Astyanax mexicanus: one gene and its partners. The protein of the gene in region 1 binds, or shares a complex with, the protein of each later gene. Links are inferred from orthologs where the notes say so. Each region holds a gene or a part of one and is shown in the gene's direction. Other genes may lie near its edges.

Evidence for each region. Proteins that work in one complex are often made in the same cells at the same time.
Region 2: the proteins of nup205 (region 1) and nup107 are in contact, whole or in part, in a cryo-EM structure (PDB 7WB4), measured with the Xenopus laevis proteins. The link is inferred for Astyanax mexicanus from reciprocal best matches to the Homo sapiens genes NUP205 and NUP107. Residues at the interface, in XP_041443600.1 of Xenopus laevis: Gly1247, Gln1248, Arg1249, Pro1250, Ser1458, Arg1506, Gln1507, Leu1983, His1991, Gln1995; in NP_001091312.1 of Xenopus laevis: Gln134, Glu136, Pro189, Tyr282, Tyr283, Gln770, Ser772, Phe773, Thr774.
Region 3: the proteins of nup205 (region 1) and nup85 are in contact, whole or in part, in a cryo-EM structure (PDB 7TDZ), measured with the Xenopus laevis proteins. The link is inferred for Astyanax mexicanus from reciprocal best matches to the Homo sapiens genes NUP205 and NUP85. Residues at the interface, in XP_041443600.1 of Xenopus laevis: Glu1477, Cys1480, Arg1481, Cys1484, Asp1485, Ser1517, Gly1518, Tyr1519, Leu1520, Lys1521, Val1522, Val1524, Asp1525, Ser1574, Gly1575, Gln1582, Gln1638, Gly1641, Gln1642, Gln1645, Val1648, Leu1690, Asp1691, Ile1692, Gly1693, Leu1694, Asn1695, Asp1696, Gly1697, Ser1698; in XP_041431608.1 of Xenopus laevis: Ala86, Glu87, Glu88, Ala89, Ser90, Gly91, Lys92, Ser93, Arg94, Lys95, Pro156, Pro239, Met240, Gly245, Thr246, Gln247, Thr248, Leu249, Thr250, Glu251, Phe252, Glu253, Leu254, Lys255, Trp256, Gln257, His258, Trp259, Pro315.
Region 4: nup205 (region 1) and nup188 share a complex: the UniProt entries of both Homo sapiens proteins name them as parts of the nuclear pore complex. The link is inferred for Astyanax mexicanus from reciprocal best matches to the Homo sapiens genes NUP205 and NUP188.

Annotation. Positions count from the first base shown.
Region 1 is NC_064416.1:18,026,257-18,033,975, forward strand, and holds the start of nup205 (nuclear pore complex protein Nup205), read left to right. Parts: upstream 1-4,713; 5' UTR 4,714-4,790; coding exon 4,791-4,818; intron 4,819-7,549; coding exon 7,550-7,692; intron 7,693-7,719. Other genes in the region: protein FAM107B, read left to right, coding at 129-285, 912-1,031. UniProt on the Homo sapiens protein: Plays a role in the nuclear pore complex (NPC) assembly and/or maintenance. May anchor NUP62 and other nucleoporins, but not NUP153 and TPR, to the NPC.
Region 2 is NC_064409.1:23,503,008-23,510,788, reverse strand, and holds the start of nup107 (nuclear pore complex protein Nup107), read left to right. Parts: upstream 1-4,772; 5' UTR 4,773-4,868; coding exon 4,869-4,876; intron 4,877-7,445; coding exon 7,446-7,534; intron 7,535-7,781. UniProt on the Homo sapiens protein: Plays a role in the nuclear pore complex (NPC) assembly and/or maintenance. Required for the assembly of peripheral proteins into the NPC. May anchor NUP62 to the NPC. Involved in nephrogenesis.
Region 3 is NC_064410.1:17,649,894-17,657,665, forward strand, and holds the start of nup85 (nuclear pore complex protein Nup85), read left to right. Parts: upstream 1-4,763; 5' UTR 4,764-5,162; intron 5,163-5,211; exon of another isoform or gene 5,212-5,301; intron 5,302-7,772. Other genes in the region: sumo2b (small ubiquitin-related modifier 2), read right to left, coding at 941-961. UniProt on the Homo sapiens protein: Essential component of the nuclear pore complex (NPC) that seems to be required for NPC assembly and maintenance. As part of the NPC Nup107-160 subcomplex plays a role in RNA export and in tethering NUP96/Nup98 and NUP153 to the nucleus.
Region 4 is NC_064424.1:26,879,668-26,886,759, reverse strand, and holds the start of nup188 (nucleoporin NUP188), read left to right. Parts: upstream 1-4,083; 5' UTR 4,084-4,157; coding exon 4,158-4,183; intron 4,184-5,645; coding exon 5,646-5,700; intron 5,701-6,179; coding exon 6,180-6,253; intron 6,254-6,462; coding exon 6,463-6,547; intron 6,548-6,990; coding exon 6,991-7,092. Other genes in the region: dolk (dolichol kinase), read right to left, coding at 1-67. UniProt on the Homo sapiens protein: Component of the nuclear pore complex (NPC), a complex required for the trafficking across the nuclear envelope. Required for proper protein transport into the nucleus.

The DNA of each region.
Region 1 (7,719 bases):
ACTGATGCTACTCAACGTCATAGCTGCTGTCATGGATTTTAGGCCTGCATCTGCCTGTTTTGACCTAATCCATGTGTATGAGTTTTCTCATAAATCCTATGTGTGTGTGGCCTGTTTCCTCTCTGCAGGGGCCTGGCACCTCAGAACAAGCCCGAGCTGCAGAAAGTGATGGAGAAGAGGAAGAGAGACCAGGTGCTGAAAGCTCAGAAGGAAGAGCAGGAAGCTCATAAGAAGCAATCAGATTTGGAAATTGAGCTCATGAAGAGACAACAAAAACTTGAACAGGTACATACACGCCAGATCACTGGAACAAACTGTTTTACTTTATCCTTTATGTTACAGTGTTATAAATGAGTATAAATCAAAAATGTTCTTGCGTCAATTCTACAGGCAGTCTGACATTCCAGCATACTGCATGGAGATCTACCACTAGTCTACTACTAAACTTTTAAACTACAAATAGATCTTGGCAAAACAAATACACTTTTGCGTTCCCATGAGCACACAAGTGTACACCTCATTTAATATCCCATGACTTTATGCATTTCAGTGTACATTCTGTTGCTATTTTAAAGAACCTTGTATCTCAAAATTTGTAGGTTTTTCATGATAAATAATCCAATAAAAATGTTTAAAAATTATTTTAGAAAGACTTCCATTTTTTTTCTTTTTCTCATTTAAAGTTGCCATTTTTGGAGTTTTATTGTGACAGCAGTGCAGAGTGTGTCTGGATTGTCGGGTGTCACAGTCTAGTGAAAGTTCTTAGCGCTCTTATTGAAGTAGTACAGTAGATGGGGTTACTTCCTGGGTGAACCCCTTTTTCCACAATGCATAACACAAACTACAACCAAGAAACCCAACATGCAGATGTTCAGACTGTAAAACATCTTTCTGTGTATTTGTGTCTGTAGCTGGAGTTGGAGCAGCAGAAGAATGAGGAGGAGCAGGAGAACACCCCGGAATTTGTTAAAATGAAGAGCAATCTAAGAAGAACCAAGCAGGAGGTGGACGAACAGGAGCGCACCACCTAGACACACTATGGGGGGTTTAAACGAGTCCATGGCACATGAAAGCATGGCAACCGGACTGCAGATTTGTGGGGATTCCCTGGTGTTCCTGCTCCCTGTGTTCCTGTGAAAACCGTGAATGGTTCCTATTGCCGACCTGCAGACACGACCAGTATTCACTTACCCTAACCCCTAAACACCGGCAGCAAACAGAGGGATTGAAATGAAAAATGCGCACTCAGACACAAAGGCACAGTCTCCCCGTCACTGGCTGGTTGGCTGGATGGCGGGCTTTGGTGGACTTACATGGCAGGACGGACAGAACACACGCAGAGTTTTTCCAATTCGTTTTCTATCTCTCTCTTTCTTTAGCTTATCTTTATTTTTATTTTTTCTGCTGTTTCTTGTTTTCTTTTTTAACTTATTTTCAGAAATTCAAGTTTAGAGGGACACTGGATGGACTTGTGCAAGCCTAAATAAGTGTTTGTTTTTTTCAGTTTTGCCTTGGAATGATGCTGATGATGAGGGGTTTTATGAGGACTTTATACCCTCCTTTTGGTTGATGATCAGAAAAAAAGAAAGAAAAAAATATGAATATGGATTCTCAACAGTTCAACCTTTGGCTGTGATGTACAGATGTTTGCTTTATTTTGTTGTTTTAATCTTCATATCTGTGCACTCCTTCTAAGCTACATCTATTTTAAGCAATACTAGAACTAGGTTGGTGTGTTTTTGAATATTTTTGTTTTTCTTTTTTTACAAATAAATTTGTTATAAATACAGTTTAGTTGCAATGGTGTAGAACACTGTGTTGAGGCACTCTTGTATTTTTTTCCACACCTGAGTAGTAATTGTTGAGTGCAATCAGGAAGGTCTAGGAAAGAAATGCATTTTTTGTTAGTTCAGTATTGAAGACTCACAGTCTAATGTATAGATTTGAGCCAATGCCCAACCACTCGTGCTCCCTTTAATTCAGAAAAACTTCTTTTAATAAATATTATTTTGTCATGTTGATGATGTGATGTTTGTCTTATTTCCACCCACTCAGATCATTCACAAAGACCTGAATATAAACAGTAAAACCTAAACAGAGGCTGGAGTCCAGTACATGTACTGATACAAATCTGTCAGGTAACCATAATTCTGCATCACGTAAAGCATTCAGCCAACATAAAGCCACTTTCAACAGTAGAGTAAGTCTTAAATTGCCCTTACAGCCTTCAAAACTGAGGCCAGGCAGCAGCACCACAGGTAAGGGAGCCGGGGGGGAATGACTACACCTTGATGGTAAGTAAAAGTGGGGAAAGACATACCCAGTATGCAAATAGAGTTAAAGGAAAAGGTTTATTGTCTCATCAAGGTTGCACCATCAAAATATAAGACAGTCTTAAGGTGACCATATGTAACTACAACAATTTGGCAACTGCAGTCAGTATAGCTCTATTGAATCAGCTCAGTTAACTTTGTGTATTGTGTATCTCAACCGTTCTTTTTATCAGCTTAAGCGGTACCAAATTTCTCATTTGTGTTAACTTTAATAATTTAAGTAATTAAAAAGGACAATTATATGTCATGTATAGAAGCCCAGCAGTGAGTAGCTTAGGACCACAAGCCGGTGAGCAACATCTTAGTACTTTAACTGCTGAGCCAGTACTGCAGAAGAAGTAGACCTTTGGACACTAAACATGTCTCGTGAACAGAAGAGAAATGTTTAACTTGTAGTTGCTAAACCTTCCTTTTGGATGCTTGTCAAAAAGTGCTTTTTAAATACCCTAGGTGGCACCATTGTGTAAGTTCCACAGTGCTGCAATCAGAGACGATACCCACTTCAGAATCCATCTAATGTTCTTTTGATTATTAGACTACTTAAGTAAATATGCCTTATCCAACTCTTCCATAAAGATGTAAATATGAAGGTTAAAAAATGTTCCCTTTCAATGATGTAAAATTTTAATACATCTATTGTTTATGGCTTTATCTTCTCAATGCTTCTTTTTACTGCATTCTTCAGTTTCACTTTCACAGAAACGAGTCTTGTTAATGCACTTACTTTGACACATAAATGAAACTTGGCTGGATTAATTAATGGTGTTCATAATATACAGTACCAGTCAAAAGTTTGGACACACCTCTTTTCATTCAATGTGTTTATTATTATTTTTTTACATTGTAAATTTAATATTGAAAACATTACAGCTAGTATATTTATACTTCTAGATTATGGATTCTTCTAAGTAGCACATTTATCTTTGAGGACAGATCTGCACACTTTGTATTTTACTCTCACGTCTTTATGAGGGAGAGTCACCTGGAATAGTTTTCTCAGTGTCTTGAAGGAGTTTTTGGAAGTGCTGAACAATAGTTGCTGCTTTTTACCCATCTCACTGTTTTGATGTCTGTAATATTAATCAACAATGTAGAAAATTAATTAAAGAAAAACATTGAATGAGAAGGTGTGTTCAAACGTTTGGCTGGTACTGTATTGATATGTATTTACTTATCTTAGGTCTATGGCTTATTTAAAGTACAGATCTTTTAAGTATTAAACCTTTATGGCATGTATAATATATTTCATATGTTATATGGGAGCTTGAGAGTCCTAAACAATTTTATTTATTTTGTCTTTTATAATAAACATATCATTTGCATCAGATGTTTTAGAGCAAGAATACAAAAACATTTAAAGTTATTTATATATTATATGTTATTTATAACATACATAACCCTTTCAAACCCTGCGTGCATAACAATAGACATCCAATATTTTATTTTTTTGTAGACCTGTTGTCCATCAAAATAGACCATTAATCAGCCAAAGAAAAGGTTTACAACCCAATGAAACAGCAGCCCCGCCCACTGCACTGGAAAAAACACCGCAACCCAGACATTAGGGATTGGCAGCACTAGAGCCAGTGAAAAAGTATGATAAACTAATTTTAACAGATTTTATGTCATTTACATAACTTTTTATCATGTTTATTGCACTGTTTGGAGATTGTGTGTGAAATATTAAAGGCATGGTGTACTAACCAAAAATTGGGTAACACAATAAGGGTACCTAAATTAACAGTACTTATGACGGAATGCCTCAAACAATTATTATCTGACACTAGTTAAGACATTACTCATCATTACATTTTTTTAAATAATTATTAATAATTATTTTAAAAATAAGCAATACATTTTAAATAATTTAATAATGTTTAATAATGTCTTAACTAGTGTCAAATAATAATTAGTTGGGACATAATCATTTATCATTTATAATGCCATAAATACTATTTGTGACCCTACACAAGCCTGTATTCAGAAAAGATTCATATTGGATTCACATCAATGACTCAGTGAGTCAAATAGATGAATCAGTCGTTTAATTTGCTTCGATCTAGCAGAAGCTCAATTTTGTCCAGTAAATTAAACTGTAGTCTGAAGATGAGTGTTTAATATTACATTTATTGGAAACTGAACATGAAGGTGATTAAAATTAATTCAGTTTGAGATTAATTTACAAAATTAACTTCAAAATCCTCTTAAAACTACAAACCGCCATTTCGACACTTGGACTCCCGGTTAATCGCCTGAGAGAAAATCGATTTCGAAAAACTATAATTTGTTTCACACTTATTTTTAAGAAGGTGTAATTGAGCATGTTTAAAAAAGAATAGAGAGTTTAAAGTATAGAACCATCTCCTGCTTGGCACGCAGTGATCCGAAACCGTATATAATTTTCAGTCTGGCGATAAGCCGGGAGGCTGCGGCTGGGCTGGTGGTGGTGGAGCAGACATGGCTGCGCAGATGGCGGTAAATTCAGGTACGGAGCTCATGTGCTGGTTATTCAACACTCCTCAGGGCTGTGTGTGTTTGTAGTTTGTTTATTATAACAGTCTGTAAAGCTGTGGGATCGGTTTAGGGAGATTCATGAGCGACTGAAGCTGCATATGAAGGCAGTTCTGCCTGTTTCTTGAGTTCAGTTTGGTTCCATTACCCGGTGTTGTGTCGAGTTATGCTACCCAGCTATACAAGCCTCCTAAAGAGACTGCGCATGCGTTAACCTACATCTTTTTAATGATTTCTCGTGTGTTTTATAATAATTCTGTTTTTGTTGTGTATTTAACAACCAGTACTCACTGTCACTACACAAGTGTATTTGCAAGTAATAATAATAATAATAATAATAATAATAAAAGATTATAAAAAACACAAGCAAGATTATAAAAAACTCACATTACCATAACTTTACACTGATACAGTGAATTATGCTGTTCAAAAAAAGTAACGTTACATCGACTTCTGCTGTGAACATGTTATAATTTTGTGCCTTTTTGGCATTTTTACGTTTAAATAAGTTATACTAAAAAGGGTAGCACGGTTTTACAGGGTAGCACAACTCGACAGAACACCGGGGTTAGCTGTTAAGCTGTTAAACAGCGCTGTTCTCATAATTATCAGCCTCCTACAGTCAAATAAACACAGTTATTCACCAACACGCCTATTATACTCACCTCTATCCACGTCTAAACTAACAGAATTCCCCGGCTTTTGTTAACAGCAACCCCCTGAATATAGCCTAGATATATCTGGCGGCTGGTTACTAACGCAAGCTTAGCTTGGCTCAGTCTGGTGTAAAAAATACTTTCGCTCTTAGTTAACTAAATAATGCTCAAAGTTCAGAGAACTGAGTCTGCGTCTAACAGCACCCAGATAACTTTTTAAACACCATCATCTGGTTTAATATAACAGGTGATTTTGTTGTGAGCAGGAATCGACAGAACTCTCTGGCCTCAGAATTAAACTAATTGTAGCTAATGCTAATTGTTTTCATTATTCCACTACAGAATAGTTAAATGACCTAGGTTAGCGTTACAGGCCTGCAAATCTGAAACAGTAAGTCCCTAAATATAAGGATGGAAAAATAGTTTTTGGAGAAACCAAAGTACCCTTTCTAAACTAATAGATTATTCAGTTAAAGACGAACATCACTAAAGGGAGAGAATGTTTTAATATAATTTGGAGAAGGGAATTGTTTGTTAAACTGAGGGAAAGGTTTGTTAATTTGATGGAACTGTTTGTTAAATAGAGAGGAACAGTTTGTTAAATTGAAGAAACTGTAGAATTGAATGTAAGGTTTGTAGAATTGAGGCAACTGTTAAATTAAAGAAGCTGTGGTAAATTGAAGAAACCGTTTGTTAAACTCACAAACTAAGGGAACAGTTTGTTAAATTGAAGAAACTGTGTATAATTAAGGGAAAGTTTGTTAAATTGAAGTAACTTTTTTTAAATTGAGGGAACAGTTTTTGGTAAATTGAGGCAACTGTTAAATTAAAGAAATGGTTTAAATTGAGGGGACTTTTTGTTAAATTGAGGGAACTGTTTGTTAATTTGAGAACTTTTTGTTAAATTGAGGGAACCGTTTGTTAAATTGAGGGAACTGTTTGTTAATTTGAGAACTTTTTGTTAAATTGAGGGAACCGTTTGTTAAATTGAGGGAACTGTTTGTTAATTTGAGAACTTTTTGTTAAATTGAGGGAACCGTTTGTTAAATTGAGGGAACTGTTTGTTAATTTGAGAACTTTTTGTTAAATTGAGGGAACTGTTTGTTAATTTGAGGGAACAGTTTGTAAATTGAAGGAATTGTTAAATTGAGGGAACGGTTTGTTAAATTGAGGGAATGATTTGTTAAATTGAGGGAACTGTTTGCTAAATGGAGGAAACTGTGTTTAATTGAGGAAACTGTTTGTTAAATTGAAGGAATTGTTAAATTGAGGGAACAGTTTGTTAAATTGAAGGAATTGTTAAATTGAGGGAACGATTTGTTAAATTGAGGGAACAATTTGTTAAATTGAGGAAACTGTTTGTTAAACTGAAGGAACTGTTAAATTAAAGGAACAGTTTATTAAATTGAAGGAATTGTTTGTTAATTTAAAGAAACTGTAAAATTGAGGGAATGTTTTTAAATTAAAGAAACAGTTTGTTAAATTGAGGTAATAAACTGCTAAATTGAGAGAACAGACAGATAGATTATGAGAGAAAAATGAAAAAATATTTAGTAGCTTCAGGAAATGCTTGATGTCTACTAATGTTTTTACAGTAATTTTAACAAAGTTATTGGGCAGTTGGTTACCTTTCTTAGATTCTAGCAGACTGACTAGAAGAGTGTGTGTATGTTGTGTGATTTATATAATGCATGAATTATGCCATAGTATATGTAATGCAGAATTTTGTTTAGTATAAAGCAGTTAAAGGCCTTGACTTGATAAGGCACACATTCCCAAAGTGTATTTCTGTAATTCTTTATTAGTCCACTATTTAGTAATCTTTTTTTAAGTCATATAGGATTATTGTTTTTGTTTTTTATTTATTCATCTGCTAAATAAATACCTGTAGAATTTGTAACAGTATACACTTTGTTTAGCTCTGTGAAGTTGTGCTTGCTATGCCTATTGTGTATTAGAGACCTTTCTTTTGTGGTATTCTTACAGTATAACTGAGAAAGTGTTGTTACATGTTGGTTTACGGCTTGTGTGGATGTATTTCCTGTGCAGGAGCCAGTCTGTGGGGTCCACTGAAAGAGTTATGGGAGACTGTGGAGGGCTCAATATGGAGGAAACAACCAGAAAGTGTTCATCTTCTGGATTTGCAGTTGAAAAAAAACAAGCCCTACTTTCTGTCTTTGTTCAAAAACCCGGTACAGTACAGTGTTGAAGATTTTCCC
Region 2 (7,781 bases), on another chromosome or scaffold:
GAAAAGTAAATATAAATGTATGATACCAATCAGCTATAACATTAAAAACACTACCAGTGTTTTTCGCTAATTTATTAAAAAAGAAAAACTAAAATGTCACTTTGCTGTGACACTCATATTTAACATTTCTTCTGATCTTACTAGAGATGTCTCTTCTTCATTGGAGTCCAGATGTGTTCAGTTAAACTAATTGGACTTGATGAGGAAAGGCACACACCTGTCTATATAAGACCTCACAGCTCACAGTGCAGTCAGAGCAAATGAAAATCATTAGGCCGAAGGAACTGCCTAAGGAGCTCAGAGACAAAATTGTGGCGAGGCACAGATCTGGCCAAAGTTACAAAAGAATTTTGGCCGTATTCAAGGTTCCTAAGAGTACAGTGGCCTCCATAATCCTTGTATGGAAGACGTTTAGGAAGACCAGAACTGTTCCTAGACCTGGCTGTCCAGCCAAACTGAGCAATCATTGGAGAAGAGCCTTGGTGAAAGAGGTAAAGAAGAACCCAAAGATCACTGTGGCTGAGCTCCAGGGATGCAGTGGTATGTGTGGAGAAAACCAGGCACTACTCCTCACCTGCCCAATAGAACCCCAACAGCGAAACATGGTGGTGGCAGTATTATGCTATGAAGGTGTTTTTCAGCTACATGTACAGGATAACTGGTTGCAGATGAAGGCAGCCAAGTACAAGGAAAACATCTTCCAGAGTCCTCTGGGCCGAAGGTTCACCTTCCAACAAGACAATGACCCTAAGCACACACCTTAAATAACAAAGGAGTGGCTTCGGAACAGCTCTGTGACCATTCTTGATGACCTAAACCCAATTGAGCATCTCTGGAGAGACAGAGACCTGAAATTGTAAAAACTTGAGAAGATCTGCAAGGATGAATGGCAGAGGATCCCCAAATCCAGGTGTTAAAAACTTGTTAGATCATTCCCGAAAAGTCTCATGGCTGTTCTAGCTCAAAAGGGTGCCTTTACTCAATCTTGAGCAAAGGGTCTGAATACTTATGACCATGTAATATTTCAGATTTTCTTTTTTAATAAATTTGCAAAAATGTCTAAATTTCTTTCTATCAAGGTGGGGTGCTGAGTGTACATTAATGAAAATAAAGTAAAATGGCTGCAAAGAAACAAAGAGTGAAAATTTTAAAGGGGTCTGAATACTTTCCGTACCCACTGTATATATTAGGCGGGAACAGTTTGTTCTTAAAGTGGATGTGTTAAAGCAGGAAAAATGGACAAGCGTAAGAATCTGAGACACTTTAACAAAAACTAAACTTTAAAGTTCTAGACAATGCCTGGGTCAGAACATTTCCAGAACATCAAGCAGGTCTTGTGGGGTGTTCCTGGAATGCAGTGCTTAAACCCTGGCAAAAGTATCCAAGAAAAGACATTCACAATGGCATGAAAATATTATTTTAAATGTTCTCAGAAAGTTTTTTAGAACATTCCTTAAACATTCAGTTGTGAAGGTTAGTGAACATTTTCATAATTTTGGAAAGACGTTCTTATTAGGAAAAAAAGTAGCAACCTTCCCACAACCAAAATGGAACATTAGGAGAATATTCTGGAAATGTCTTTAAATGTTCTCAGAATGTTCTCAGAAATGGTCTGAAAATGTCCAAGTATAATCCAATTCCTTGAACAATAGATTGTCATTGTAAATGACACGTTGAGGTGACTTTCTGGGAACGTTCTCATAACTTTGGAAAAACATTTTGGGAATGTTACGAGGTAACATTCTACAAAGCTAAGCTAATTGTAGTTTAGATTACATTAACATGGAGCAGTCCCACAAACAAAGTGGAATGTTGGAGGAACATTCTGAGAATGTAATTTAAAATGTTTTGAAAACATTCTGAGGTACAACATTCCTAGTACAATACAGCATTTCTAGGACAATAAATTGCCATTGCAAGTAAGGTTGGGGTAAAATAACTTTAGAAAGACATTCTGGGAACATTAAGAATACTGGACATTAATCTGTTGCAAGTACAATGACATGCAACATTCCCACAACCAAAATGGAACTTTTTAAGAATGTAATTTTGAATGTTCTGACTAAGAATGTTCCTAGGATGTTAAACTATCATTGTAAATAAGGTTCAGATAATATTCTGGGAACATTAGTATGCAATATTCCCACATCCAGATATAAAATGTCCCAATACGTTTGTCCATATGGTGTGCACAAAGTACACACTGTTGTATTGATGATATAATAACTGAACAAATCCTCTACGGTGACACACTTCTGTGCATTTCAATACACAATTACTGTTTATTTGTTGAATTGAACAAATGATTAAAATATGAAATACTGTAAAATCTGGCATGTGCAAAGATTCTAATAGGTTAAATTCAGCACATGAACAGTAATTATGTATTAAAATGCACAGAAGCTTAGGGAAATATTTACACATTACTAATTCATTCAACAGCTCCACCAGCACAGAGGCCTAAATCTCATACCTGAGCGCCCTCTTGTGTCTGAGCACTCTGTTAAATTCCAGTGAGAGGCTCTCATTTCTGAATAGCAGTGTTATATAGAACAGTTGTGTGTCTGGGTGCCCTGGTGAGCTGGCATTGTGCTGTTTGTGAACTAAATCTGAATGAGTTTGATCCACACACTGATCCTGGATCCAACTATGTGGTAAATCCTACTATTCTCACAAATCCAGTTCAAGATCAGCTTCTGTTCACAGGGTTAGAGGGTCCCCAGGTAACAAAAAACATTATAAAAATGTTTAGATTAGACAACATTAACATAAGTTATTTGATCAAGTTTAATGCCTAATATCAGGTGTGGGCTAGAGGGTATAAAGCCCCTAGTATTGATCTGTGGAGCAGTGGAACTGTGTTCTCTGGAATGATGGAGCTCCATCTAATACTAATAGATGGGATAAGTTAAGGAGTTGGGGATTAGGTAGGGTGGTGATCATTCAACATCCTAACTCAGGGGTGTTCAAACTTTTTTTGTTGGGGGCCAGAAGGAGAAATATATTTGAAGTCACTTGCCACACTCCGTAATAAAACAAATAATGAAATATACCACTTTAAATAATACTTTTTTCCTGATTATTTCATTTACACACCATTTTACTTGACTTACTATCTTTATATTTGACAGTGTTGTGTAAACTAAGATTTTTTAAATTGATGTTTAATTTCTTGATTTCTCTTAAAATTAAACTCCTTAATTACGGCAACTTTTAGACTCTTTGGCCTGGTTTTCTGCGCTAGAAATGCGCACCCTCTCCGCTTTTAGACTCTTTGGCCCCGTTTTTCTGCGCTTGAAATTTGCACTCTCTCCGCTTTTAGACTCTTTGCCCCATTTTTCTGCGCTAGAAATGCGCACTCTCTCCACTTTTAGACTCTTTGGACTGTTTTTTCTGCGCTAGAAATGCGCACTCTCTCCGCTTTTAGACTCTTTGCCCCATTTTTCTGCGCCAGAAATGCGCACCCTCTCCGCTTTTAGACTCTTTGCCCCGTTTTTCTGCGCTAGAAATGCGCACCCTCTCCGCTTTTAGACTCTTTGGCCTGTTTTTTCTGCGCTAAAAATGCGCACTCTCTCCGCTTTTAGACTCTTTTGCCCCGTTTTTCTGTGCTTGAAATGCACACTCTTTCCGCTTTTAGACTCTTTTGCCCCGTTTTTCTGCGCTAGAAACGCGCACCCTCTCCACTTTTAGACTCTTTGCCCTGTTTTTCTGCGCTAAAACTTCACTCTCTCTGCTTTTAGACTCTTTGGCCCGTTTCTGACACCTAGCGTTCAAACTTAGGTTCTCACATTATAAAAACCTGCTTAACAGCGGGCCAACTTTCATTCTATTTCTAAAACACCTCGCGGGCCGCTCCATAAAAGGAAACGGGCCGCAAAAATATATATATATATATATATATATATATATATATATATATTAGGGGTGTCAACGTTAACGCACGCTGTTAATTTGTAATCAATAACGCGTTTTTTAACGCAAGTTAATTAAGGCGCCAAGTTCGACTCCTACTTCCGCCATAATCTGCCCCGCCCCTGCCCAGCACACTGATCTGTTTTCTGGCTGAACGACTGAACAGTCATACGGTGTCCAGCAGTAACACTCCGGTTCAGACTTCCAGCTCAGACCTGGTTAGAGTTCTCTCTCTCTCATATACTCTCTCATATAAGTTAATTACAGAATTTTGTTGTGATTAATCGGATTTTTTTTAATCGATTGACACCACTATGTGTGTGTGTGTATAGAGAGAGAGAGAGAGAGAGAGAGAGAGCGCTCTGGAAAAAAAAAAATTAAGAGACCACTTCAAAGTAATCAGTTTTTCTGATTTTGTTTTCTACAGGTTTATGTTTGAATAAAATGAACATTGTGGTTTTATTATATAAACTATTGATGACATTTCTTCCAAATTCCAAATAAAAATATTGTAATTTATTTGCAGAAAATGGGAAATGGTTAAAATAACGAAAAAGACGCAGATCTTTCAAACCTTACAGAAGTTCATATTTATTTAGAAACAGTAACAATGCTAAAGTTTTATCTAAGGAAAAGTTCAGAATCAATAATTTGTAGAATAACCATAATTACAGCTTTAATGTGTGTTGGCATTCTCGCCACAAGTCTTTCACACTGCCTTTGGGCGACTTTATGCTTTATGCCACTCAAAAATGGCTCAAAAATTCCAGCAGTTCAGCTTGGGTTGATGGTTTGTGATCATCCATCCATCTTCCTCTTGATTACATTCCATAGGTTTTCAGTGGGGTTGAGCTGGGGGCCGCTGGGGGCAGCAGAGAGCGGGAGCAGGTTGGAGTAAAAGCGGTGAAGGAGAGGAAGAAACAGAGAAGGCGCAAATCCCGCGGCACGAGCTCAGCATGGATTGGTAAATGAATCAATAATCAGTGATTAACAGCGCTGATATTATTATTAATCAGATTTATTAATATTTCGCCTCTCAAACTTAGATTACAACCACTGTACAGGCTGAGCTTCTGCACCAGTACCAAGTTAACTTAACTGTTAGCGATTAGCATGCAGTGCTAAGCTAACTAGCCTAATTGACTGTACTGTACTGTGGGTCTGAGCTCAGACTAATCATCACTGTTTATTTGTTTACTTATTTATCAGTCTGCATGTTTTACTCCTGTACTGCAGCTGTGCTGTGAAGGGGTCTGTATCCACCTAAAATCTGTAGCACTACAGAACTACAGCACAGAGCAGTAATTTCAGCTTTATAGAAGAAGCTGTCAGTTACAGATAGTTTAGATTAAAGTTGAGTTTTCTATAACTTATATTCCACTGATTGTAAATAATTGTTTCATATATAGTGATTGAGTAGAGTTTGGTGTATAACTAATTTAATATTCTGTGACTTTATTAATGTTAAATCTTTACAGCGAGAGGATCAGAATAGATGTAACGTTATTAGTTAAGTGGAATAAGTGACTCCTCATTCTATTATTATATGCAAGTTAAAGGGCCTATACCTGATTCTCGTTTGATATACAAACAGAAACATGTAGGGATTCACCTGATGTTGGGGAAATTAAATGGCTAATTTGGCCAAAAATGACACAAAACAGAAACACTTTCAGTGTTTTTGTTGTGCATTGTGGACATATCTGCTGGGATGTTAAAAATGTTAAGTGCTTAAGTGTTGAAGAGTAACTGTTTATTATACTTTGGGTGTATTGACAAATATCTTTCAGTTATGATTACTTATCTTAGTATCTATAATTACATAATCATTGTGTGAAACCTTGTATTTTATATGCATTAACCAATACTCACCTTACATTTGATCATTTTTACTCACAGTGTATTTTACACGCAATTATATAGAAGATTAACCAATAATCACAATATATTCTTTACATATATAGTAAAACATTGTTTGATCAGGCATGTGACTAACACAGACTCTATTATATGACAAATTAACCCACATGATACATAAGGCATTTACTAACACATAGGATTTATTATATGGCGGACTAACCACGCGTTACTAACACATTAACATATAACATATGAAATCTATTGTGTGACTATTGCGTAGCTCATGCTTGAAGCATTTCGTTCACTGCATGACCCTAACTAACGGTCATCAACTCGACTGGTACACTCGGTAAGAGACTACATTTCTACAGAGGAGGCTTTTAGATCAAAGCGGCCTTCTGTGTGTGGGGGAACCTGCAGCGGCTTCAAAGAGGGGGGTGACGCACACTCACACAGATAGTGCCACGATGTTCCATTCTGGAAGAACACAGTCAAGGCCAAACACTAGTGGTCCGGTCAGACCTGTGAAACTTGAGTACTAACACGTGAAATTATGCATATTAACATGAGCTAATCGTTAGCAACGCCTCATCAGCAGGTTTCACGTCATTTGGGGTATAAAACATGGAGTCAGATCAGAGGGGGGTCAGAACTTATGCTGGGACGGCTGTTAGACGGTCTTTCATGTGTGGGTTCTCCTGAATATTCAGTACTTTGTAATAAATACTTGGTTTGCTTTCAACTTCACTCCACCTGTCTGACTCTCTCTATCAAACGAACACGCAGGGGAGTTGTACCCCGGTCGAGAGGGAGGTGTTGACCCACCTTTCATTTTCTTTTCTACAACAGTGTTCATACATATTCGTAAATTTTAGGTTTGTTATTGCTTTTGACTTTTAATTAAAAGCCTGTATCACACTTTTTTATGTATTTAATTTGTTCTGTAATTGACATTTGACATTTTGGTTTTGGATTTAAAATGAATATTTTAGCCAAAAATGGCAAAATACAAAACTCTTTAGGTGTTCAGCTGAATAAGCCTGAATATTTTTTTCTGAGTGTAAAATTTTAATAAATATTTTTAAGTTGTAAATTTAGGACAAAATATATTCAGACAATTTAATTAATTAATTAAAACCTGTGAATAAATGTTTTATTTATTTATTTGTTCTTTGACCAATTGATAATTTTGGTATTGTTTGTTTTGGTTTGGTTTTATCCAAAAATGTTCACTTTGGTACAACCTTACATAAAATTGAACAGACCTTGCAACAGATTTTATATAAGGCTGCAAAGTCATTTATATGGACAGCAGTGAGGATTGTGCATATTCAAATTTGAACACTGTTACTGTAGAGCATACTGGAAATAGCATTCATCAAAAATAGAGAAGTTTTGTTTGCCAATACATAGACCCTGTAAGTAAAAATATTTTTGGCAGCTTGGGAGTGCTAGGACCTGTTTCCTTAAATCAGGGTGTTAAGATCATGTGAACTGGTCAAGAGAGTTATGATTTGATCCATTTTTTGCTTTTGAGATGCTTTTTAGATCTTAAAATCTGTACAGTTCAGTGTAATATTGATGTTGCCACCATATGCATTATATTAGTAATATATTCGATAATAATTTGCAGATCCAAATGCTTATGTATTTTCCCTGTTGTTTTCTTGTAGGAGCCAGAACTGGTTGAACTCTCCTGTTGTTCGAGACTCGGAGGTGACTCGAGCCGCACGCAGGAAAAGCTCACACAAAAAGGTGGCCTGTATCCTTACCTAAATTTACTGGACTTTGGCTGCTCAGATTGCAGAGCCTGCAGCTGAAGTGACCACTTGCTTTATTTTTCCACTTGGTTAGATTTTGTATAAATCTCTTATCCTCCAGAGCTCATGCAGTCAAACCTCTGCCATGAACCCTCGTCTCAATATTTCTCATCAGGTGTTAAATGTGTCTTGCAAGACTTTAAGTTTGCTTTGTGTGTTTCAATTCTTTACACCATCACTTCCCCAACC
Region 3 (7,772 bases), on another chromosome or scaffold:
GTTTGGACACACTTATTTTAACAGTTTTATTTACTTAATTCAATTATTTTCTACATTGTAGAAACAATTAAGGGACAGATTTGGAATTAGGTAGTAAACAGTAAAAACAAACGTGTTTGGCCCCCACAAGAAGGGTGATTTGGGGTTGTTTAGCACCTCTAGGATCTCCTTCAAGTTGTTAAGAAGACTATCCCAGGTGACTCTACCTCAGGAAAAAGCTCAGATTAAATTACAAAGAGTGTGTAGACTTTCTGAATTTGGCTACTTTTAAATGGTATTGTATGTAAAAATCTTACTGTGTTTAACTTTTTATTAAAGGTTTCAGTGTTATGAAGAAAACATGTCGTGATTAATCGCAGCAGATGTGTGGTTGGTTAGTGTGTATACACACAGACGCGTGGAGGACTGATGATGGTGTTAATGTGAATATCTGGCTCAGAATCGACACATGTTCTCAGTCTGTTCCACTTCTCCAGACTCCAGCGCTCCACACAGCGCAGCCTGCAGACACCGACCCGCAGCTGGGCGGCTGTTCTGCTATAAAAGTCTTCAAACCGGCTTAAAAACAAAGCCCAAGTTCTCAGACTGTACCTCTCTACTACTCTTAACACATCAGCGCTTAAATAAGGTCCGTGTTTTCCCGCATTTCACAGAATTGTGCTGTAAACCCGAACCAGCACCCGTACATTCATTACGCTGCTTGAACCCGCGCTGCTGGCTAGCATGTTAGCTAACGTGCTAAATGCGCGTTCACGACTCTTCCGGCGATTCTACAACAGCAGTTGCAGTATTTATCCACTACGCGGAATTATTCTACACACAAACTCTCCATTAATTCTCCATCACTCTATTCTTCTTTTTCCTTCATGCCGTATCTTCTGTGTGATTTGCGAATTATTTTATGATTATTGTTATTATATTAATTTTAATTCTCTCTCACCTTGGGCTTCTCGTCCGCCATCGTTATTGTGTGTTATTTCTCGCCGCCCGCACAAAGAGACTCCCGCCGTGCACGCGCACGTACACGCGCTCGTACGCGCGCAACCCTCCCCTCCCCTCCCCCCATCATCGCCATTCTAGAGCATTCGTGCGCGCGCTCGACACCCCCTCGTTTCACAGCCACAGCGGCTGGGGCGCGACCACGGGCGAACGTGCGCGCACCCGCTCTGTACGGCAGGATGGTTGCTGAGGGGCGCGAGCGGCGACGTCACGAATGCGCGAAACCTGTACAGAATGTCGGTGGTGCGCATCGCTCGTGCACGCGCACGCCATGTTTTCAGACGAATTTACTGCAAATTCGTGTTAAATGTTGAAAATACTGCGCGTTTATGATCATAGAGAGCAATGAACACGTGGGTGTGTGTGAGAGAGAGGTTTATGTGTGTGAGGTTTAGATGTGTAAGGTGGTTTAGATGTGTGTGAGGTTTAGGTGTGTGTGGGGGTGGTTTAAGTGTGTGAGGTTTAAATGTGTGTGTGAGGCTGAGGTGTGTGTTAGGAGTGTGTGAGGTTTAAATGTGTGTGAGGTTACTGTTTGTGTGGGGGTGGTTTAGGTATGTGTGAGGTTTATGTGTTAGGTGGTTTAACTGTGTGGGCTTTTTGTGTATTGGGGTGGTTTGTGTGTGAGGTTTACGTGTGTGTGGTTTAGGTGTTTGTAAGGTTAGGGTGTGTAAGGTAGTTTAGGTGTTTGTGAGGTTAGGGTGTGAGTGTGTGAGGAAGTTTAGATGTATGTGAGGTTAGGGTGTGTGTTTTTTAGGTGTAAGAGATTAGGGTGTGTGAGGTAGTTTAGGTGTGTGTGAGGAAGTTTAGGTGTGTGTTTTTTAGGTGTAAGAGATTAGGGTGTGTGAGGTAGTTAAGGTGTGTGTTTTTGTAGGTGTGTTAGGTAGTTTAGGTGGTGTTTGTGAGGCTAGGGTATATTTTAAGGTATAAAAGGTTAGGGTGTGTGAGGTAGTTTAGGTGTGTGTTATTTTTAGGTGTAAGAGGTTAGGATGTGAGAGTGGGTTTTAGGTGTGTGAGGTAGTGTGTTTGGTGCGTGTGAGGGGTGGTTTAAGTGTGTGAGGGGGTCTAGGCGTGTGAGGTTTAGTAGGTATGTGGGGTGGTTTAGGCATGTGAAATTTGTGTGTTAGGGGTCATTTAAGTGTAGGTTTGTGTGTTAGGTGTGATGTAGGTGTGTGTGAGGGGGTTAAAGTGTGGAGGTGGCTGGTTTAGGTGCATCTGAGGTTTAGGTGTGTGAGGTTACTGTTTGTGTGAGGGGTGGTTTAGGTGTGTAAGGTGGTTAGAGTGTGGAGGGTGGTGGTTTAGGTGTGTGAGGTTTTATGTATGATTTAGGAGTGTGTGAGGTTATTGTTTGCGTGAAGGGTGGTTTAGGTGTGGGATGTTTATGTGTGGGGGTGGTTTAGATAAGTGTGAGGTTCATGTGTGTAAGATGGTTTAACTGTGGGCTTTTTGTGTGTTGGTGTGGTTTAGATGTGTGAGGGGGTTTTGGTCTGTTTTAGCAGTGTGTTAGGTGTGTGGTTTAGATGTGTGAGGGGGTTGTGGTTTGGGTGTGTGGTTTAGATGTGTCTGGTTTAGTTTAGGTATGTTAGTGGATTTAGGGGGGTGTTAGTGGGGTTCAGGTGTGTAAGGTTTAGGTGTGTTGGGTGGTGCAGGTGTGTGTTAGGGGTGGTTTAGGTATGTAAGGTCGTTAAAGTGTGTGTGGTTTAGGTGTGTGCGGGGAGTTAGGTCTGTTAAGAGTGGTTTAGGTGTGTGCGGGGATTTAGGTCTGTTAGGAGTGGTTTAGGTATGTGCGGGGAGTTAGGTCTGTTAGGAGTGGTTTAGGTGTGTGCGGGGATTTAGGTCTGTTAGGAGTGGTTTAGGTGTGTGCGGGGAGTTAGGTCTGTTAAGAGTGGTTTAGGTGCATGAGGGGGTTGTGGTCACTGTTAGGAGTGGTTAGATGTGTGTTGGGGATTTAGGTGTGTATAAGGGATGGTTTATGTGTGTAAGAGGAATGGGTTATGTGTGTGAGAGGGGGTTAGGTGTCAGGGGTGGTTTATATGTGTGTGAGGGGAAATTTAGATGTGAGAGGGTGTTTAAGTGTGTAAGGGGAGGTTAAGATGGGAGAGGTTTAGGTGTGTGAGGAAGTTTAGGTGTGTGTGAGGTTAGGGTGTGTGTTTTTTTTAGGTGTAAGAGGTCAGGGTGTGTGAGGTAGTTTAGGTGTGTGTGAGGTTAGGGTGTGTGTTTTTTTTTAGGTGTAAGAGGTCAGGGTGTGTGAGGTAGTTTAGGTGTGTGTGAGGTTAGGGTGTGTGTTTTTTTTAGGTTTAAGAGTTTAGGGAGTGTATTTTTTAGGTGTTTGTAAGGTTAGGTTGTGTGAGGTAGTTTAGGTGTGTGTGAGGTTAGGGTGTGTGTGTGTTTCAGGTGTAAGTGGTTAGGGTGTGTAAGGTAGTTTAGGTGTGTGTCTTTCAGGTGTAAGTGGTTAGGGTGTGTAAGGTAGTTTAGGTGTGTGTTTTTTAGGTGTAAGTGGTTAGGGTGTGTGAGGTTAGGGTGTGTGTTTTTTAGGTGTAAGTGGTTAGGGTGTGTAAGGTAGTTTAGGTGTGTGTGAGGTTAGGGTGTGTGTTTTTTAGGTGTAAAAGGTTAGGGTGTGTGAGGTTAGAGTGTGTGTTTTTTAGGTGTAAGTGGTTTAGGTGTGTGAGGTTAGGGTGTGTGTTTTTTAGGTGTAAAGGGTTAGGGTGTGTGAGGTTAGGGTGTGTTTTTTTTAGGTGTAAGTGGTTAGGGTGTGTGAGGTTAGGGTGTGTGTTTTTTAGGTGTAAGTGGTTAGGGTGTGTGAGGTTAGAGTGTGTGTTTTTTAGGTGTAAGTGGTTAGGGTGTGTGAGGTTAGAGTGTGTGTTTTTTAGGTGTAACAGGTTAGGGTGTGTGAAGTAGTTTAGGTGTTTGTGAGGTTAGGATGTGAGGGTGGGTTTTAGGTGTGTGAGGTAATTTAGATTTGTGTGAGGTTAGGGTGTGTGTGTTTTTTAGGTGTAAGTGGTTAAGGTGTGTGAGGTTAGGGTGTGTGTTTTTTAGGTTTAAGTGGTTAGGGTGTGTGAGGGTGTGTGAGGTTAGAGTGTGTGTTTTTTAGGTGTAAGTGGTTAGGGTGTGTGAGGTCAGAGTGTGTGTTTTTTAGGTGTAAGTGGTTAGGGTGTGTGAGGTTAGAGTGTGTGTTTTTTAGGTGTAAGTGGTTAGGGTGTGTGAGGTTAGAGTGTGTGTTTTTTAGGTGTAAGTGGTTAGGGTGTGTGAGGTTAGAGTGTGTGTTTTTTAGGTGTAACAGGTTAGGGTGTGTGAAGTAGTTTAGGTGTTTGTGAGGTTAGGATGTGAGGGTGGGTTTTAGGTGTGTGAGGTAGTTTAGATTTGTGTGAGGTTAGGGTGTGTGTGTTTTTTAGGTGTAAGTGGTTAAGGTGTGTGAGGTTAGGGTGTTTGTTTTTAAGGTGTAAAGGGTTAGGGTGTGTGAGGTTAGTGTGTGTTTTTTAGGTGTAAGTGGTTAGGGTGTGTGAGGTTAGAGTGTGTGTTTTTTAGGTGTAAGTGGTTAAGGTGTGTGAGGTTAGGGTGTGTGTTTTTTAGGTGTAAGTGGTTAGGGTGTGTGAGGTTAGAGTGTGTGTTTTTTAGGTGTAAGTGGTTAAGGTGTGTGAGGTTAGGGTGTGTGTTTTTTAGGTGTAAGTGGTTAAGGTGTGTGAGGTTAGGGTGTGTTTTTTTAGGTGTAAGTGGTTAGGGTGTGTGAGGTTAGAGTGTGTGTTAGGTGTAACAGGTTAGGGTGTGTGAAGTAGTTTAGGTGTTTGTGAGGTTAGGATGTGAGGGTGGGTTTTAGGTGTGTGAGGTAGTTTAGATTTGTGTGAGGTTAGAGTCTCTTATGCTGTGGTACTTTTAGCCTTTACAGCACGTTGATATTTTTTCTGTCAAGGACCCAGTCTTGATACAAAAAACAGATTTGACATCACTGATAAAATCTGATACAAACCTCATGAACAGTTTGTAGCGTTTGGCTCAACAATGCACAAAAAACATAATTTTTCAGATTGTTCTGGCTACTGCAGTTGCACAGATCACCCTCCTCTGCTCTGGCACATCCAGCAAGCTGATTGGCTCTTTTTGTTGAAGGGCGAGACTTATCCATAAAGCAGCTGGGGTTGAGGGTTACTAGAACTCCCATTCCTATTCCAGTAAGTGGCTGGACTCCTCATTCAGCATGTCTGTCATCTGCCATTTTGACTGATAGCTAGCAATAACAACTTGTGCACAGTTCTAAATGGAAAATGTAAATATCTCTAATGGTGGAATGGGCGCTAATATGTTGGCTAGGTAGGTCTGTGGCTTTGTGTTGCCTTGTCAGTAGGCTCAGATTGTATAATGTACCAAGGAAAAAGTGAATTATAATGAAAAACACCTGAAAACTTTAAAGGCTGTAAATGTATGAATTCTAACAGCTGCTGAGCAGCCCATATCGATTTTAGCAGAACTCAACGGATCACCTTGGCTAAGCTAAGCTAAACTGGCTAAGTTAGTGCTAAATAAATCTACTAGTTTATTGACTCTGAGGTCCTAGTGATTTTTCTCTAAAGAAAGATGGTTAATTTTAACGGGAGTTTAATATTTTTGGATGCTGGTTAAGAAGTGAATTAACAGATCAAACTCTAAACTTAAGTTTCACACAAAATAACAGCACGTGCTCTTTAGTGTAGTTTAAAGTGTTTGGATATTGTGTTAATGATTTAAAGGCTTGTAACTACTGTTTAAAGGTGGGCTGATCATATCACTGTAATATGGCAAGCCAAATGGGTCAGAATTCGCCTGGGTCTGACGGCGCTTAAAGCGTGCGAAATACTTAAAAAACGCCGTCCAAAACGCCGTGCAGGGCTTACTTTTACGCCTTGGAACAAACGCGAGGCGCCGCCAGGCGTTTAAGAGCGTGTGGCGGCGCCAGGCGCTTACATAACGCCACCACGCGTTTTCATAACGCCTCCAGGCGTTCCATATGCAAAAACGGACAGAATATACATATCCCCTCCTTCTCCAAGCAGTTCAGCCCTCTGACTCTGTCAGGGAACTATATCTCCTGTTAAAATAAAAGCCCCCAAGTGCTTCAAATGTCTGCTGTGTTATTAGATGTGCTAGATTCATGTATTTCTGGCTAAACTGGGCTTTGCAAAATGTAGTCCCTGATTAAAACATAACAAAATGTAATCAAATGTACTTATTTTTTATCAACTCTTTCATTGCTGGCCTATTTAGTAATCATGTTTAATTTGTCTGATGCCGCAAGACCTGAGCCAGCCAACACACACACACACACACACTCTCTCTCGAAGGCATTGGGGATTTTAATAAAACGCGCAATACAGAGACCACCACAGCATACAGAATGAATGCATAAATTGAGAAATTAGGAAATCAACCGGACACACAAAATCCAGCAACACATTTAGCAGATCTGTGTAGAGATTCTATACGTTTTAGGGTCACTCTTAAAAAAAAAAACTGTTCACTATGAGATCGTAATATTCCGAATCATTCAGTATTCAAGGTATTCCTTAATTAAATTGTTTTTGATCATGGTACATCCTTATATTATTTTTTGCTTTCTTACTTTTTAAATAAAAGCCCTTTTTGTATCGCTGCCGCTCAAACGGGCAGCGTGGGTCTAAAATGAGCCACATTCATTTTCTATGCTACTTCAAGTATGGCTGTGGTTCTATGATATATTTTAGCAACGCATTAATTCCGTCGTTCAGAATTTAATTGACGAATTTATGAATGAGTGTTTCTTTTGCACAAATCTTAATTTTCATTCTCCTTACACAGGTTTACACACACGGGTCAGACACAACGCACATGAATTTACCATTTCACAGCTCAGCACAGCTCCCTCAGTACTGTTTTACGATAACATCACCTTAGAAAATATTTGATGCCACTAGTGAAAGATAACTGTATATAATATTTGATTAGGATTAGGTTACCATTAGAGTGAGAATATTACCTGTCAGAAAGTTACAAGTACGTATTATTAGATGTTGACATATTCTATTTTAGTTAGCTTAATATACTGTAGTACTTTGTAGGCCATTTAGCTACAGGGTGTGTTTATAATAATGTTCTTGGTGACAGTAACTGAAATATTTTATTAATTTAAAGAATAAACATTTTTAATAAAATAAATAGTACAGTCTAATATAGGATAATGGTAATAATAATAATAATAATAATAATAATAATAATAATAATAATAATAATAATAATAATAATAATAATAATAATAATATTGACATTATTTTGACATATTCTATTTTAGTTAGCATTCTGAATATTTTGTAGATTTTTTTAAAACTGCACACACACACACACTTTTATTATTACTATTATTATTATTAATATAATTTGATATTATTATTATTATTATTATTATTATTATTATTATTATTATTATTATTATATTGATATAATTATTATTATATTGAATTAATAAATTATTTAAACAAGCCCGGAGTGGCTAATCGGGAGGATTCCCGATGGGCCGGGGCGAGTTTGGGCCGGTTGGACGGAAAAAAATTATTTACCCTCACTTCTCTAATCTTATTCTTGCATTCATTGCCATTCAACTATGCACTCTCTATTCGTCTGACAACACAGCCCCTACGTCGGGTTTAACCATCTGAGGGAATTCTCCTCTCCCAAATGTTTGAGTTGGTTGCGTCCACCAGTGGTCTTTTCTGAAGCGATCAAATTAAATGCAGCAACAGAATAGCACAAAGCGTCAGACGACTGTGATGGAG
Region 4 (7,092 bases), on another chromosome or scaffold:
CCATGTGCACACACAGCACAATGGAAAAGACCACCATGGACTCCACCAAGACCGGGTCTGTCTGCATGATTGTGCGATATGGGTGTGCGTACTAGAATTGGAGAAGTTTCCTAGGACTTCCTAGAATGTAGCACTTGCTTCAAGACTTTGCAGCTTTTAGATCTGTCAAAGTCTCATTTGTTTAGAGTTCAGCATCCCCAGTGCATTCCGCTCCACCTTCTACCAGCATTCAGGACCTGAAAGAGACACATCAAAACAGATCTCTGGTTAGAACCACACAAACCATTCCCTTTAGCATGTTAGCAGCTTTAGCTTGTAATGATGTAAATGGTGTAAAATGCAATCTTCAGGCTAGCATTTTTTAAATGTATTAACGATCTACAGTTAAATTTACACTTATCATTCCTGTAAGCCAGTTATCAATTATCAATTATTATGCTTTAGCATGTTTTTGTAACAGGTCTTGTGTAAAAAAAATTGCTAATGAATTTGCAGCTAGCATAGCATTAGCAACATTTATATCATCTTTAATCATTGTGAAACTGAGTCTTTAGGCAGAGAGCCTTCAGGAGCAGGCAGATTGACAGAGTCAGGCGTGACAATCGTAGTATAAGCTGAAGTAACATATTTCCATGTAAATATAATGTTGGACAATATAGACTTAATTTTAAAATCACAACATATGTCTTAATTTCAGTCAAAAATATATAATTCCGATATCAATATGAACAGCATAAAAGCCAAGGTCATTAGTGTACACAATCACGCAATGATTAAGCTGGGCGATATGGCAAAATATTATGTCACAGTATTAAAAGATAATCTTATGATGCATAGTATTTATCGTGTTTTGATTGAATTGCTGAAAAAATGCACCAGGAGTGGCAGATTCTTAAAAAACTTTATTGAAACCAGCAACTTTACAGGAGAGGAAAAACCTTCTAAACTTTTAATGGAAGTCAATGTAAAAAGAGTATATTCCAGGTCATCTGAAGAGTTTCTATTGGTCCGTTCATCAAGAAATTTTGGCACGGTATAAGGGGCAGTTTGTCTGATCAAATTATGTAGTAAACTAAAAATCAACAAAAATTGATTGTGTTTTTCATTGGACAGCGGCGATATTCAGATACTTTTTCATGCAGAGTACAGTGATTTATGTACAATTTCTGCTGCACATGATTCAATTTACCAGTATATTTACACTCTCTGTAATGAAATGTGCAGTTGTTCTTTAATCAAGGGATCATTGTCTTAAAACAGTGATGATAGCCTCTAAAGAAGGATATATTTATCACAGTACAATTTACTGTAAATGTAAGTTTTGCATACAACAGTAAATAATTTACTACAGGTCTTAAAGGCTAGATTTTATATCATAATGTAGTTTTACTTTTTTTTAGCAGCTAGCTTAGCACTGACAGCCTCTATAAAAATATATCATGTTAAGACCCACATTCTTTCATTCCCATTCAATTTTAATATGTGGGAATGTGTGATACAACAGTGGCAGTTCTGTGGTTCAGCAATGCCTGTAACCATCACTGCTCCCTGGTTACTTAATATCACAATATAACTCGATAGTTATACTTGCGTAACAAAATTTTCTTTATCATTTTTATTACAGGTTATATTATAAGAGGAGTCACGCAGTACAAATACTTTGTTACCTTACTTTTGAAATTTGGATTATCTATACTTTACTGGAGTAATTATTTTTCATATGTATATGAAAAATCATTTGTATATTATCATAATAGGTTATTAAGTTTCCTTTTCATTGTTGTCAATAGTCTTTCAATAAGTGAAAATTTACAGCAGCATGTTAGCAGCTAGCTTAGCTATAGTAAACACTGCTGTTCCTATTACTTCGGAGGTCATAAGTCATGAGTTGGTACCAATCCACTTAAAATTTAAATAATTACACTATTGTACACTATTTATACCACGCTATCTCATTGCTAACGTTTTGATTGACCAGGCCCTATAATTTACCCAGTTCTGTGCCTAATCTGCACCCTAATTTTGGGTTTTTTTAAGCCTACATTATCAGGGAAAACCAACAGGAAGTTGTTGTAACGATCAGGCAGATACCAAACTCAGATGACTCAACTCTGAACTGTAGCAGCTGAACTTTAGCACAGTTACCGGAGCACATTTAGAACTCCAGATTTGAGGTCTAAAAGCTCTGAATCTGTTTGTTATTTCACATGAGGGCTGGGAGGTTAATCTAATTCATTTGATTAATCGAATTACTGTTTTAAAGGGATTTTCAAAATGGGTTAATCAAGATATCCTTAATTAATAAAGCTGCCAGAGGGAATCTCAGTAGATAGAAATTTGCTTATGTCAGAAACCTTTAAAGAACTCTTTTACGTGGCAGTAATTTTCCTATTTTACACTTTTCCTTAATTGAAATACCAGGACGATATGTTGTCACTTTGTTTAAAATATAAAAGCTGCATAAATGAAATTATTTATATATATATATATATATATATATATATATATATATATATATATATATATATATATATATATATATATATGAAATTTAGCTTGAGCATCACTTTAAATTGTACTGTCTGTTTAAAAATAAAACAACTGAAGTTGTTATGTAAAAGAAAAAAATCGAGAGTAAGAAATAAAAAAATTGTTCAAATACTTGAAGAATATCAAGATTATTATAACTATTTTTTACAATATCGCTCAGCCCTAATTATAGTACAGTCTGTGCAAACACAGTGCTATAGTATTACACTGTAATTAATAATACATTAGTTTGGAGTAACAGGCAGAAAAGGTCTTCTGAGGATTTCTCTAGCCTACCTTAACGTTTTGACAAACCTTCAACTCAAAAAAATCACAGGGGCACATCAAATACTAAAAAAAAAACATACATCTGAATGGTTATAGATTAGTTATTGCTAAACAAAATACAGCTCTGGAAATAATAAGAGACCACTTAAAATGATGAGTTTTTACCAAATTTAAAAACTCTGGAATATAATCAAGAGGAAGATGGATGATCACAAGCCATCAAACCAAGCCGACCTGCTTGATTTTTTGCACCAGAAGTGGCATAAATTTATTCAAAAGCAGTGTGTAAGACTGGTGGAGGAGAACATGCCAAGATGCATGAAAACTGTGATTAAAAACCACAGTTATTCCACCAAATACTGATCCCTGAACTCCTAACATTTTTAAGAGTGTTTTCTTTGCATTATTCAGAATTATTCAGAAACTGAAGTGGTCTCTTAATTTTTACTAGACATTTTAGCTAAATAGATACTAAACAGACTGGCTATGCCTTAGCTAGCTGGTGGATCCATTCACCCAACACTGTGCATACATTTGGAATGGCAAATCTTTGGGCAGTGGACCATTTTACATTAAAACAGTGTTTTGGATAACACTGTTCACATTTTACACTAAGACTAAACCATACAGACGTATTGATAAACAATTGGAGTTCTCCTTTAAGGTGATTAGCTTTGCGTATAAATACAGTATCCAATACAAGGGCAGGTTAGCACCCAGTCATGCCCACATGCTGTATAAAGCTGCAGATACATAAAGATGGATATGAGCAGAAACCTGCTGAATATGAAACATGGATTTCGGGATACAAAAAAAAAAAACGAACCAGACTGATCAGTCTGATTGATCTGATCAGTGGCCGAGAGGTGGTGAACAGCCTTTGTTGGGGCCATTATGATGATCTGCCCCTCTGGAAGCAGCAGCAGAACCTCCACGAAGGACAAGAAGCGAGAACATCCACATCATACAGATACAGATCATACAGAGACAAACACGACCAGCCTTACCGGAGACCCGAGGGGAGAGGATCTGTCCGCGTTTCACCGCTACCGAGATCTTTGCTGATGATATGTGATCGATGTCGAGCTCCGAACACGGGTGGGGGGGCGGCCATATTTGACAGCTGGGTCACGTGGGATGAAGCATTATTATTATTATTTTTTTGTTTTATTTGGAAAACACTTTTAACAATTTAAAAATTATTAATATCACCAGACAAATTATATTTATAGGGGTTTCGATTTAATAATATTAATATTTTTCAAAACATCACGAAATTTAACGAATAATGTCACGTGAGCAAACGCCGCGCTCTCATTGGTCACAGTACGGCGGCGAAGATGGCGGAGTCGGAGATGTGTGCGAGGTAAATGAAAGAAACATTAACTTTTAGTGTTTAAATTAATTAAATATAAGCTGTTAACATTTTCATTCAAGTTGTTTAATCATATACGGTTTATTCACAGGCAAGCGAGGAGCGGAGAGCGCTCTGTTCTTCATTTTAACGCTTTTTTTTAGGTTAATAGTCAGGGACGCGGTGGGAGCATGTTGTTATGTGGCCGCGCTGAAATAACGTTAGCATGAATGCTAAAAGCGGCGTCTGTGTTAATAGAACAATATAAAACACGAATTAAACAGATTTAAGAGTTAAGACAAGCCTTTTAGGACTTTACACGACTAAAAAAAACCAAGGCAGTGTACTCCGGAGGCGTTGTTTAAACTGTGCGGATAGTTTATATCTTTCTGAGTTGGGTTGGCTGAGTAGCAGCGCTGATAACTTCACTAACTTCTGATTTTGGCGCTTTAAACCCTCAGCTAGGCTCAGGGCTTCACAGCCGGGCTGAAACACTGTGGTAAACATTGAGAAACAACATAATATGATGAGGTTTTGATTGTGGTAGCTTATCCAGCAGTGCTGGTGAATACAACCGGTGCTCTGTCGATTTGTGCTGCCTTGTCAATTCATGCTAACTAACACAATACATATTTATAGGTTATGCTGCCTCAATAAACCAGCAGGTAGGGTAGTTTAGCCAAATGTGTGACTAGAGTAGCACTGCTGAGGTAAATGCACTGTGCTGTGTTGGCATGTCAATAAATGTTCTATAAATTATAAACTATTTATTGGAAATCAAGGCAAAAATACACACGGTCTATAATGGTAAAGTGTCAAATAAAATAATAAAAACCCGAGGAAAATGTTTAATTTCGTTGCATCCCTAGTTAATACTAATATTCATAATAAATAAAGATTTGTGATGCTTTAGAGACGTGTATACTGCCTGTTTACAAATCACAAAAACAATATTGTCATTTTAATGTTTTACACCATGTTTAATACAAAACCTGCATGTAGTTTTGTATAAAAAAAGAAATAAAATAAATAATTAGAATTTAAATGTAAATGAAACAATAATTTGGTGTTTGTTTAAAAATAAAGTTATGTAAGAACTAAAAATTGTAATCGAGAATCACTCATATATTTAAATAATATTTTTTTTCAATATTGCCCAGCTCTAGTTTCAGTAGATCTATGTTTTTTAACGCGTTAATTTAAAAAAAGGTTTTCAAGTTTAAAAATGTTTTCAAACTATGACTTGTTTGTGTAGAAATCAGTTCGCTAAATAAATGTACAACTACAAAATGTGAAAATAATTCTTAGGAGACACATTTAATTTAGAATACATTAAAGTACATAAGCAGTTAAGTGTCCAGATTGTACAAACTGTACTAAGTGTTTTAAGTGAGTTACCATCTACATGGCACACTGAAAGCTGAAGTGTTTCACTGAGAATAAATTTATATACAGACTGTGTTTTGATTTGTAGGAGTAGTCGGGAGTTGTGGACCATCTTACTTGGAAGATCTGCTTTGCGGGAACCGGTAACTTAAATTTTTATGAACATTTATTTACATATACATTTATCATACCAAAAAAAAAAAAACAATTGTTTAGATTGAAAATCACTCATTTAGTTCCACTGGCACGTGTCAACATATTAAGCAGCAAGTGACGACCAGTTTTTGAAGACGATGTGTTGAAGCAGGAAAAAATGTAAAGAAAAAGTGTAAGAATCCTAAGGGCCAGATTGTGATGAGTACATGATTTAGGTCAGTACATTTTAAAAAGCAGCAAGGTATTTAGGATTTGCATTGGTCAGTACTTACTAAAAGTGCTTCAAGGAAAGACAAGTTCATGGGTGTTTATGGCTCATAGATGTTCATGAAGGTTACATAAAGGATCTTCTGCAATACACAATATTTAAGAGTAAATATAATATTGTGTCTGATGTGTGTTCGTGTGTGTCTGGCATTTTGTTAATTAAACCATCTTATTTTTCCTCTGCTGTATGATATAAAAGGCCCAGATAGAAGCAGAATTGGAGAGAAATGGAGAACGGCTGCTGCAGGGCCTTTCCTACTACAAACCACCTAGGTAAGCAAATGCAAGCCCACATTGTTTATTATAATACACAGGTTGGTAGACAGATATAGATCATTATTAATACTCAAATAATCTTTTTAATATTCCGTAAGTAGACATTTGTTTTGCATAGGCCTGTTAGTTATGTTTATTTTTTTTTAGCTGTGGTCAGTCAGTAGTTATGTATTTTAATTAGTGAAACACTGTTTTTTTCTGTTCAGTTCTTCATCAGCAGACAAGCTGAAAGTGAATAAAGATGTGGCTCAAACTCTTAAAGACTTTGCACTTCGCATCAGCAAATTACTGGTAAGTAAAGCAACTTCTTTTGCACCATAATGACACTATACTACAATGCAGTATACAGAAGAGTGATGAGGAAGAGCTCAGTTTAAAGTTGCATATAGACCAGGTGCCTGAATTATGACCATTTGTCTCATTTGAGGAAGGTTGTGAAAATAAATTATATTTTTGTTTTTTTAAAGAAGCCAGTGCTTAATTCAGTATTTGCTCCAGTAAAACTGATCATTCTGAATCTATTACAGTATATATGTGTAAACTATGTAGTAAAATGTGAGTGCTTTTTAAAAGCGGCACAATACAGAACAGTAAAAGGATATTCTAAAGGATAAAAAGGGTTTAAAAAATTGTTGTATGAAATTATGCTTTGACTATTGTGGTATGTGAGTGGAATTCAGAGAATAGTGTAAAATATGTGACCTTTAATAAATGAGTGTGTCTGTTTGCCCCAGGGTCTTGATGAACAGCAGAGTGTGCAGATTCTGCAGTGTTACCTGCAAGAGGACTACAGAGGGACTCGTAACACACTAAAGACAGTACTGCAGGATGAGAGA